Pelodiscus sinensis: one gene and its partners. The protein of the gene in region 3 interacts with the protein of the main gene of each other region in a biochemical or structural test. Links are inferred from orthologs where the notes say so. Each region holds a gene or a part of one and is shown on either strand. Other genes may lie near its edges. The genes, in order: HTRA2, septin-4-like and XIAP.

Region 1 (3,744 bases), on a different chromosome or scaffold from region 3:
CCCGCCCCCCCCCGAGAGCGAGCCCCCCCGATCCGCCCGCCCCCCCCAGAGAGCGAGCCCCCCCCGATCCGCCCGCCCCCCCCAGGAGAGCGAGCCCCCCCGATCCTCCCGCCCCCCCCAGGAGAGCGAGCCCCCCCGATCCTCCAGCCCCCCCCAGGAGAGCGAGACCCCCCCGATCCGCCCGCCCCCCCCCCCGAGAGCGAGACCCCCCCGATCCGCCCGCCCCCCCCAGAGAGCGAGCCCGCCCGCCCCCCCCAGAGAGCGAGCCCCCCCCGATCCGCCCGCCCCCCCAGGAGAGCGAGCCCCCCCGATCCTCCCGCCCCCCCCAGGAGAGCGAGCCCCCCCGATCCTCCCGCCCCCCCCAGGAGAGCGAGCCCCCCCGATCCGCCCGCCCCCCCCAGGCTCTCACCGGTGCGCGTCGAAGAGCCGCTCAGGGCTCGAGGCGGGAGGAGGCTCCATCCCGGTCCCGAGCCACCGCCTCAGCGAGGCCCAGGACCCGCCGCCATCTTACCCACGGCGGCGCCCTGCGCGCGGGGCCCTCTGGGAAAGGGAACCCGCGTGCGCCAGAACGAGCCTCCCGGCATGCCCCGCGCGGCTCCCTGCCTCTCCCGGCCTGCCCCGCGCGGCGCGTCCAGCGTCTCCCGGCCTGCCCCGCGCGGCTCCCTGCCTCTCCCGGCCTGCCCCGCGCGGCGCTTCCAGCGTCTCCCGACCTGCCCCGCGCGGCGCGTCCAGCGTCTCCCGGCCTGCCCCGCGCGGCTCCCTGCCTCTCCCGGCCTGCCCCGCGCGGCGCGTCCAGCGTCTCCCGGCCTGCCCCGCGCGGCTCCCTGCCTCTCCCGGCCTGCCCCGCGCGGCGCGTCCAGCGTCTCCCGGCCTGCCCCGCGCGGCTCCCTGCCTCTCCCGACCTGCCCCGCGCGGCGCGTCCAGCGTCTCCCGGCCTGCCCCGCGCGGCTCCCTGCCTCTCCCGACCTGCCCCGCGCGGCGCGTCCAGCGTCTCCCGGCCTGCCCCGCGCGGCTCCCTGCCTCTCCCGGCCTGCCCCGCGCGGCTGAGCATGGCGGCGGCCCGGGCGCTGTGGCTGCGCGCGGCCTGGCGGGGGCCGGCCCGGGCCCTGGGGGCCGCTCCCTGCGCGGGCCGGGGGGAGCCGCGGCCGCCCCCTCGCGCGGGCCGGGCCCGCTGGGCGCTGGCGGGGGCGGGGGCGGGGGCGCTGCTGCTGCTGCTCTGGGGCCGGGAGCCGCCCGCGCTGCTGCCCCGGGTGCGCGCCGCCGTGCCCGCCCCCCCCGCGCCGCCCGCCCCCCCCGCGCCGGGCCCCGGCTCCGCCCGCGCCGCCTTCAACTTCATCGCCGACGTGGTGCAGAAAACCGCCCCCGCGCTGGTCTACATCGAGATCCTGGGCAGGTACCGCCCCCCCCGGGACCCCCCCGGAACCCCCCCGCCCCCCTGGACCCCCCCGCACTGGTCTACATCGAGATCCTTGGCAGGTACCGCCCCCCCCGGGACCCCCCCGCCCCCCCGGGACCCCCCCCGCACTGGTCTACATCGAGATCCTTGGCAGGTACCGCCCCCCCCGGGACCCCCCCGCCCCCCCGGGACCCCCCCCGCACTGGTCTACATCGAGATCCTTGGCAGGTACCGCCCCCCCCGGGACCCCCCCGCCCCCCCCGGACCCCCCCGCGCTGGTCTACATCGAGATCCTTGGCAGGTACCGCCCCCCCCGGGACCCCCCCGCCCCCCCCGGGACCCCCCCCGCGCTGGTCTACATCGAGATCCTGGGCAGGTACCGCCCCCCCCGGGACCCCCCCCGCGCTGGTCTACATCGAGATCCTGGGCAGGTACCGCCCCCCCCCCCCCGGGACCCCCCCCCCGCGCTGGTCTACATCGAGATCCTGGGCAGGTACCGCCCCCCCCCCCGGGACCCCCCCGCCCCCCCGGGACCCCCCCCGCGCTGGTCTACATCGAGATCCTGGGCAGGTACCGCCCCCCCCCTGGACCCCCCTGCGCTGGTCTACATCGAGATCCTGGGCAGTACCCGCCCCCCTGGAACTCCCCTGTCCCCCGGGACTCCCCTCCTGACCCCCCTGGTACCGCGCCTGCGGTGGTCTACATCGAAGTTTTGGGCATGTACCCCCCCCCGAACCCCTATGCTGGTCTACATCGAGATCCTGGGCAGGTACCGCCTCCCCGGGACCCCCCCGCCCCCCCGGGACCCTCCCGCGCTGGTCTACATCGAGATCCTGGGCAGGTACCGCCCACCCCCCCCCCCGGGACCCCCTCCGCCCCCCCGGAACTCCTCCGCGCTGGTCTACATCGAGATCCTGGGCAGGTACCGCCCCCCCCGGGACCCCCCCGCCCCCCCGGGACCGCCCCACGCTGGTCTACATCGAGATCCTGGGCAGGTACCGCCCCCCCCGGGACCCCCCCGCCCCCCCGGGACCGCCCCACGCTGGTCTACATCGAGATCCTGGGCAGGTACCGCCCCCCCCGGGACCCCCCCGCCTCCCCGGGACCCCCCCGTGCTGGTCTACATCAAGATCCTGGGCAGGTACCGCCCCCCCCGCCCCCCCGGGACCACCCCCGCCCCCCCGGGACCCCCCCGCGCTGGTCTACATCGAGATCCTGGGCAGGTACCCGCCCCCCCGGGATCCCCCCGCCCCCCCGGGACCCCCCCGCGCTGGTCTACATCGAGATCCTGGGCAGGTACCCGCCCCCCTGGAACTCCCCTGTCCCCTGGGACCACCCCCACCCCCGGGACTCCCCTCCTGACCCCCCTGGTACCGTGCCTGCGGTGGTCTACATCGAAGTTCTGGGCATGTACCCCCCCCCCCCCCCCCCGAACCCCCATGCTGGTCTACATCGAGATCCTGGGCAGGTACCCCCCACGCTCTCCTGGACCCTCCTGGCCCAGCTGGTACCACCGCCTCCCAGTATTGCCCCAGTGCTGGTCTACATGGAGATCCTGGGCAGCTACTGCCCGACCTGCTCTCCCCGCCCCGCAGCATCGCCTGGCTTCAACCTGCTCCCAGTACTGCCCCTTGTGAATCTGACCTGCCACTTACCCCTTCCTGCCCTTGTACCATCTCTCCTCTCACCTTGTTCTCTCCTCTTCCAGAGAAACTTTCCCCATTCTTCAAATCTGCTTCCCCTCCTCTCCCCTCCCCGCCCCACCCATACTGACCCCCAAGTGTTTCCCTAAGTATGTGTCATTTGATTGGCTGCATAGAAACCCCTGCTGCTGTGTTTGTGTGTATCACTCTTGGGTCGGGTGCTCTCTAGTAAGGATGTAAAATCCACTTAATTAGTTAACCAGTTGAATGTTAAGGGGAGCTAGTTATCTGATTAAACAGTGGTAGGGGAATTTCCATCCACTAGTCCTTAGGCACTTCCGCATTTCTCCTTTGAAATGGACAAAAGCCCCAGTGGGGACTCTTGTGCATTTCAAAGTTGGAACTCTGCATGCAGCCGAGGGCCAGCAGGACTTCCCCTTGGTCCCAAGTGTGCCAGCTTTGGAATGTACAAGAGTCCTCAGCTGACCACGGGATCCATGCGGCGCTGCCCCTTTGAAATGCCTCGACGCTGCCACTTTAAAGTGCCCCCTCTTCCCTTCCCCTTTGCTGCTGCTTCTATCTGATAGAGGCAGCAAGCAGAGGAGTGACTAGTCGACTCGACTGTCTGATTAGCATTTGCTTATTGGATAGTTGATGACTGCTCAACGTTTCCCTCTACTCTCTTCTAGTCAGTCCCTGGCAAGG
Region 2 (3,744 bases), on a different chromosome or scaffold from region 3:
TCAGTCACACAGGCGTCCCGCGTGCCCAGGGCCGTGCGCAGTGCAGATACCCGTCTGTCACACAGGCGTCCCACATATCCAGGGCTGTGCGCAGTGCAGATACCCGTCTGTCACACAGGCGTCCCGCATGCCCAGGGCTGTGCGCAGTGCAGATACCCATCTGTCACACAGGCGTCCCGCGTGCCCAGGGCTGTGCGCAGTGCAGATACCCGTCTGTCACACAGGCATCCCGCGTGCCCAGGGCTGTGCGCAGTGTAGATACCCGTCTGTCACACAGGCGTCCCGCTTGTCCAGGGCTGTGCGCAGTGCAGATACCCGTCTGTCACACAGGCGTCCCGCGTGCCCAGGGCTGTGCGCAGTGCAGATACCCGTCTGTCACACAGGCATCCCGCGTGCCCAGGGCTGTGCGCAGGTCAGATACAGGTCTGTCACACAGGCATCCCGCGTGCCCAGGGCTGTGCGCAGTGCAGATACCCGTCTTTCACACAGGAATCCCGCATGCCCAGGGCTGTGCGCAGTGCAGATACCCGTCTGTCACACAGGCGTCTCACGTATCCAGGACTGTGCGCAGTGCAGATACCCGTCTGTCACACAGGCGTCCCATGTATCCAGAGCTGTGCGCAGTGCAGATACCCGTCTGTCACACAGGCGTCCCACGTATCCAGAGCTGTGCGCAGTGCAGATACCCGTCTGTCACACAGGCGTCCCGCATGCCCAGGGCCGTGCGCAGTGCAGATACCCGTCTGTCACACAGGCGTCCCGCATGCCCAGGGCTGTGCGCAGTGCAGATACCCATCTGTCACACAGGCGTCCCGCGTGCCCAGGGCTGTGCGCAGTGCAGATACCCGTCTGTCACACAGGCGTCCCGCGTGCCCAGGGCTGTGCGCAGTGCAGATACCCGTCTGTCACACAGGCGTCCCACGTATCCAGGGCTGTGCGCAGTGCAGATATTCGCATGTCACACAGACCTACCCAGGCTCAGCCCATGGAAACGGGCCATTGAGATGCCCTGGGAGGCTCCTGCCTCTGCTGGACCAGGCCAGGGATGGGAGAGGAGGTATCCAAAGGTGAGAGCTGTGGGGCCTACATCAGCCCTGGCCGGTCTGCGAGCAGGAGGTGGGGGGCTGTCGCGGCTGTAGTGAGGCTGTGAGGGGCTCACTGGCCAGCCAGGCGGTGCTGCCTTCAGGAGCTGGGCAGCTCGGGATGGGGACAGGGGAGGTTCCCACCCAGCAGCCTCCTTCCGCGGCCTTTGAACTTGTCCCTGACTCGATTTCTTCTCCTCTCGCCCCACCCCGCTGCACTCAGGCCGCAGAGCGGGCAGGGGGCGCAGCTGCTCCCAGGGTGTCCGAAGAGCCCCCGCCCTGTGCAGCGCAGCCGGCCATGGGGGAAGGAGGCAGCCCCTGCCTCCCGGAGCGTGCCACGGAGCTGGCCGAGACCCCTGGCGAGCAAGCAGTAAGAGTCTGAGCTGCCGCTGGAGCTGCATGGGAACGTCCCTCCAGCCCAGGCCATCCCACCCCGCTCCCCGGGGACCCCAACGCTGGCCACGGGGGCCCTGAATCCCTGGGGTGCAAGGAAGATCTTTCAGTGTCCTGACTCTCCCCATGCTTTCCTAGGCCTTCTTGGGGCATACGATTATTAACAGCAGCTTCCTTGCACGCCTCACACTAATGCTTCCTACAGGGCTAGCGGTGCACAGAGCCTTCCTTGCACGCCTCGCACTAACGCCTCCTACAGGGTTAGCGGTGCACAGCGCCTTCCTTGCACGCCTTGCACTAACGCCTCCTACAGGGCTAGTGGTGCACAGCGCCTTCCTTGCACGCCTCGCACTAACGCCTCCTACAGGGCTAGCGGTGCACAGCGCCTTCCTTGCACGCCTTGCACTAACGCCTCCTATAGGGCTAGTGGTGCACAGCGCCTTCCTTGCACGCCTTGCACTAATGCCTCCTACAGGGCTAGCAGTGCACAGTGCCTTCCTTGCACGCGTCGCACTAACGACTCCTATGGGGCTAGCCCATGGGGCAACTGCTGAGCTGAATGTAACCTGCAGACGCAGGTAACAAGCCCTGAGCTGGAATGACCAGGCTGCGCGCAGGGGCTGGTTCCGCGGCTCTCGCTCCCTCGTGTCTAACTCTCTAAACCAGCCTGCTCCTCTCTCTGCCCTGCCCCCATCTCTGCAGATCAAGCGCTTCCTGAAGGAAGACTCGGAGGAGGCCGAGCTGGCCCAGTTCCTGAGGGAGTTCCCTTCGGACGAGAGCTTTAGGAGAGCGGAGCCAGAGGAGGGCCAGAGGGCCCCTGGCCAGGGCCACGTGGATCCCAGCGAGGTCCCCAGCGTAGCCCGGCCCGGGGCCAATGAGCTGCTAGACCAGAGGGAGCTGAAGCCCTTCTCCCGGCCTTGGCCCCTGGACTGCCCGCAGCAGCACATCGCGGCTCCGGCACCACTGAGCCCCTCACGGCCCAGGAGCCCCTGGGGCAAGCTGGATCCCTACGACTCCTTGGAGGTACGGTGCACCTGGGGCAGGCCTCTCCGGCCTAGGGAGCCAGGGCTGTGGGGCCTGCCCGTGAGACGCCAGGGCCCCAGGACTCTGCATGAGGACAGGGCTCACCCGAAATCCTGCCGGGGCCGAGTGCGCCCAGCTCCCTGGGAGTTCCAGGAGCGGGCCCGACGCTGAGGCCGGGGACACGAGGCTTTTCCCCTGGGCTCCTGGCCAAGAGCGGCGCTAGCGCGGGGCAGGCCAGCGAGCGCTCTCCCCCCCAGCGGGCGCTCCTCCCGACTCACGCCGCTCTCCCCTGCAGGACGATAAGGAGTACGTGGGGTTCGCGACGCTCCCCAATCAGGTCCACCGGAAGTCGGTGAAGAAGGGCTTTGACTTCACGCTGATGGTGGCAGGTAGGCGCCCTGGCAGGGAGCACTGGGGGAATTCCCAGGGAGAAGAGACCCCAGCAGGGCAGGTCACCCTCGCTCCGTAGGAGCCATGGCAGCCGTGGAGCAGAAGTGCGTCCCATTCCTCTCCCCAGAGGCCCTGGGGTGCCCGGGCTCTAGCCAAGGCCCCGCGGCAGCTGCCTTTGGGGCGGGCTGACGGCAGAAATCCCCGACACTCAGGGTCTCCGGTGCTGCCTTTGTTCCTGGAGCAGCAGGTGCAGATCCTGTCTCCTCGAGGGCCTGGGACAGGGGCCCTCCTGCCTTGCTTGGGAGCTCCGTGACCCCTCTGCTTCTGCTCTCTAGGGGAGTCTGGCCTGGGGAAATCCACCCTGGTGAACAGCCTCTTCCTCACGGACATGTACCGGGACCGCAGACTGCTCAGTGCCGAAGGTGAGAGGAGGGACCACTGCCGGCCTCCCAACTCACGGGACACTAGGACTGGCAGGGACCTCGGGAGTCATCGAATCCAGTCCCCTGCCCTCCCGGCAGGCCTCATCCCTGATCGAGATCCTGTCCCAGCTTGGCGCAGGCGGCAGGGCAGCACCCTGGGGTGTAACCCCCCCCCCGGCCTCTTAGCAAATGACCGTTGTGTGCCTGGGCCCTCTGGTGCTGTTCGTTTGGACGCCTCTGTGGCGTTCAGACCCCTGGGGCCCAGGCTGGCTCCCATGGGGGCTGGGGGAGCTTGCTTTGGCCCAAGGAGCCCTAGCGCTGCGCAGAGGCGGAGGGTTTGGCCCACGGGAGCGTCTGTTGCTCAGCCGGGTGTTTGGCGGGAGGCTGTGTGCTCTGCCAGGGCCGAGGGACCCAGGCTGAGGAGCGCAGGGAGG
Region 3 (3,744 bases):
TCAAAAGTGGAACTAAGGTCCCTATACCCTAATCATTACTCATACAGGAGTAATCATGGGGAGTGAAGATGACACATGGTAGTAATGGTTTGGGGGATCAGGCAGACCCTAATATTGTACCACACATCAACTTTATTAGGGAGAGCACTCTGCCTCTGTATTCTGTATCCCCAGATTCTTTAGATAATGAAATTAAGAGGATGCAATGCTATAATTTAAATAAGTGGAGGGAGAGAGAAAGTGAGGGCAGAGATGTTTTCAGATGAGATTGGAAGGCAGGAGCTGTGGTGAGAAACTGTTCTCAATGGCAGAGGCTGCAGAGAAGGTTCTTGTGCCAACAGTGGGGAAGATCTGTAAGGGAAAAGGTGCAAGATGAAGGCAGGGAATGGAAATTTGGGGCTGGAGCTTGAGTGCACTGTGACTGTGCTGTCCTGGAGCTGCGAGTACTGATTTGGGCCCATCAGGGCAGGGGCCCTCTCTCCCCATCCCCAGCTGTTTGGTGTTGCGAACAAGGGTGGAGAGGATGTGTGGAAGTGGTTTGGACTCTGGCTCTCTGGCTATGAGGGATGAAGGTCAGAATGGGAGAAGTGGGCCAACCATGCCCAGTACCAGAATCTTACCCATGCAGAGTAGCTGGCAACATCCAGAGCCCTATCCCCAGCTGGCCACTCTCTTATGTACTGGCTTACTTTCACCTCTGCATATACCTAAGATTGATAACCTTGCATGTCTCCTCACTCTTGCATGACTCAAACCCTCTCCCACATGGGCCTTACACTTGCAGTGTTGGTGGGCACACAGCTGCTGTATTACCAACAATTTTGATCTGTTGCCGCTTGTTAAATTGCAGAAGTGAGAACACAGTAGCATCTTTCGCTGGCCCCAGAAACTATTAATCTAAGAGATCCCATGTAGTGCAAAAAATGCGACTCTTTAGCCCCCATGTAAAAAACCCCAAACCCTGCCGCTTAAATTAGTGGGGGGGGGGGGAGGGTGTTTGTTTTTTGGCAACTGCCAAATGCAAATCCTTAAAACATTACCCCCAAAACAGCCAGTGGAGCCAGATACCTGCCAGGTGGTGGTAACCCTCCTCTTCTGTGGTCCCACTGCCCTGCGGAGGGACAGGGGCTTGGCCCGGGACAGGGCAGAGCAGAAGGAGCTGCCAGTTCCCCGAGAGCTGCGCACAGAGCCTCCAGCCTAGCGCGCGCCTGGGCCAGGCCCTCACCTGATCCCGCCCCCACCTCCAGGGACCTGCGCGGCCCTTCCCGCCGCTAGGTGTCGCCGCCGCCAACGGGACCCAGCGTCCGCCCTCGGCCGCCGGCGGACAGGAGGCTGCGAGCGCCATCTTCTCGCGGGCTTCCTCCGGCGCGCGGGGCCCACGGCGCGGAGCCAGGGCGGTGAGTGACAACGCGGGCGCGGGCCGCTGCCGCTCGCTCGCCCTGAGGGCAGGGGACGAGGCTGCCTGGCCGGCCGGCTGCAGCGGGGGGGGTCTCTGGGCTCCCCTCTCGGGCATTAGCAGGGGCGGGCGGGACCGTCCTTCTCCTGGGCGGCGGAGAGGCGGGGGCGTTACTCTCCCCCCCCCCCCATCGCCGAGCTCCCCAGCCCCTCCTCAGCAGCGCCCGCCCGGGGGAGGGACACGGACTCTGATCCCCTCCCCTCGGTCAGAGGGGCTCCCCCCTGCAGGCGGCAGCGATTCTCATTTCACCTGCTGCCAGCGCAGCTTTCATTGCTTAGATCCCCCTTTGGGGGGGTTACCTCCAAGATCCACCCGCATCCTGTAATGTGTCGTAATAAGGAAACACGCGTGTTCACTGAAAGGGCCCCCAGATCTCAGCGCTTGACCTGATTCATGGGCAGCCCCTCACACTCTGCGTGTGGCCCTCCGGGCGTCCTGTTACCTTGAGAAAGTGGACCCATCCTAGCTAAGGCTTAGTCGCTTTTACTTCCCCCATTTCCGACTGTGGCGTGTGTCTCACCTACGGCTTTGCTGCATTAACTGGTATATAATGTAATGAATGGCATTTGTCCACACGTATGGAGTACAACGGATATAGATCTTTGCAATTTGCAAAATGTGCCTCAAACTTTAATTCAAACAGTTCTTAAGTTCTTTGCATTTAAACCCACTTTATTCCACTAGAACCTGTCCCCGGGCCCTAGGTTCCTCACCCCTGCTTTAAGACAGTGTCTGAACGAACTCCTCTGCTGTGGTTGGCCAAGGTCCACCACTACATAAGCACAGAAGAAAAACAGTCCTATCCAGTATGTGTCTGTCTTCTGCCCATTTTACTTTTTAGTCTGCCAAGAAACAGAAATTGAAAGCCCACAACTTTCAAGAAGCCAGAATGAGTAGTTAAGCTGGACGGACTAGAGCCATTAATTCAATTTTCTGAGACTGTAAGTGCATGTTTAGCATGTTTTGTCATGAGATTTAATTGTAACTTGTTTTTAAAAGAGAGAGTCAGTATTTTATTGGTTTAAAAATAGAAGATGTGATTTAAATCAAATCCAGTTTAAATTTAAAACTTTTTTTTTATTTAATAAATTATTGATTTTTATCCACCCTGGGAATAACCTTTAAAACATTTTCAATATATTTGTTCCTCTCCATTCATCTAACAAACTTGTTGCACTATAGCATTTGAAGTACATATATCTTTATGCTGACTCCTTCAAGAAGCCATTTATAGAACCAAGTACAGTAAAATGTTTTAAGAAAGTTATTTTATATCTGGATTTGATTTTGTCAGTGAAGCTAATGTGGCCACTGAGGAGAGATTGAAATGCCACCTAGCTGATTAGCTGAATGCCCACAGCTAGGCTTTTTTTCCTGTTCATTTACTGGTGATGCATGTTCACATGTGCCTTGATGCAATTTTTTTTTTCTATACAGTATAAGGCTGGAAAAAATCCTCACATAGATGAAAAAGATGAGGGAACATTGGATGGGAGGCAAAAACATGGGGATGGAAAATATTACTCATTTTCAAAAGTGAAGGGAAATTCCAGGATCTGTTAGTGACCTTTCCTGTTGCATTCATCAACAAAATACATTTAGCCTAAGGGGTGATTTGTGGATAGAGTTTGTGACTTCTTGAAGGTTAACAGAACTGGGAATAGATTGTGTTGGCTGAGGTTACAGACTGTTATGGTGTCTATAAGACCAGAGTTTCTCAATATGTGGCTTGCAACTCAAAGGTATATCACCATCCAAGCAAGACCAGGGCTGGCTAGACGTGGCTTCCCGTTTCAGGCTTTGTAACCCGGCTCATAGGCTAGCAGTGTCACTGTGGTTTGGCTCAGTTACCCCTCTGTCATGTACTCTTCTCCCACAACTATGAGATTCTCCTACTGTCTTACCTCCTGTCATGGACCCCGACTCCTGAACTTCCCTCTTCACCCCACTTAGCCTCTGTGTGTAGAGGCTGTGTGGTTTTTTTGGGAGCTGTCAGCTTGCCGTCTCTCCCCTAAACTTCTATGTTCCATATCCTTCCCACTGAAACCTCAAACTCCTTTGCCCTTGGGATGTAAGTACCGATCAAAATAGTTAACCAGTTAAGCAATTAAAATTACATTCTTTAGCTGGTTAACCATTGTTGAGCGCAAAGCAACTATGGTGGGAGGGTCTTACCGGGCATAGTGGGGCCACATCCAGGGCTATGCAGAGAAGCTCCGGGCCATGGCTGCCATGGCATGGGTGCGTTCCTCCAGCGCTACTGTGACGTGGGCAAAGTTTCCTCCTGC

Evidence for each region.
Region 1: the proteins of XIAP (region 3) and HTRA2 form a complex in vitro, tested with the Homo sapiens proteins (10 studies listed by BioGRID and IntAct, with this or other methods). The link is inferred for Pelodiscus sinensis from reciprocal best matches to the Homo sapiens genes XIAP and HTRA2.
Region 2: the proteins of XIAP (region 3) and septin-4-like form a complex in vitro, tested with the Homo sapiens proteins (4 studies listed by BioGRID, with this or other methods). The link is inferred for Pelodiscus sinensis from reciprocal best matches to the Homo sapiens genes XIAP and SEPTIN4.

Annotation. Positions count from the first base shown.
Region 1 is NW_027465889.1:426,919-430,662, reverse strand, and holds the start of HTRA2 (serine protease HTRA2, mitochondrial), read left to right. Parts: upstream 1-1,049; coding exon 1,050-1,393; intron 1,394-3,744. Other genes in the region: lipid droplet-regulating VLDL assembly factor AUP1, read right to left, coding at 410-459.
Region 2 is NC_134731.1:15,970,262-15,974,005, forward strand, and holds the start of septin-4-like, read left to right. Parts: upstream 1-1,285; 5' UTR 1,286-1,380; coding exon 1,381-1,452; intron 1,453-2,177; coding exon 2,178-2,498; intron 2,499-2,793; coding exon 2,794-2,887; intron 2,888-3,223; coding exon 3,224-3,310; intron 3,311-3,744. UniProt on the Homo sapiens protein: Filament-forming cytoskeletal GTPase. Pro-apoptotic protein involved in LGR5-positive intestinal stem cell and Paneth cell expansion in the intestines, via its interaction with XIAP. May also play a role in the regulation of cell fate in the intestine.
Region 3 is NC_134723.1:32,366,428-32,370,171, reverse strand, and holds the start of XIAP (E3 ubiquitin-protein ligase XIAP), read left to right. Parts: upstream 1-1,276; 5' UTR 1,277-1,397; intron 1,398-2,297; exon of another isoform or gene 2,298-2,397; intron 2,398-3,744.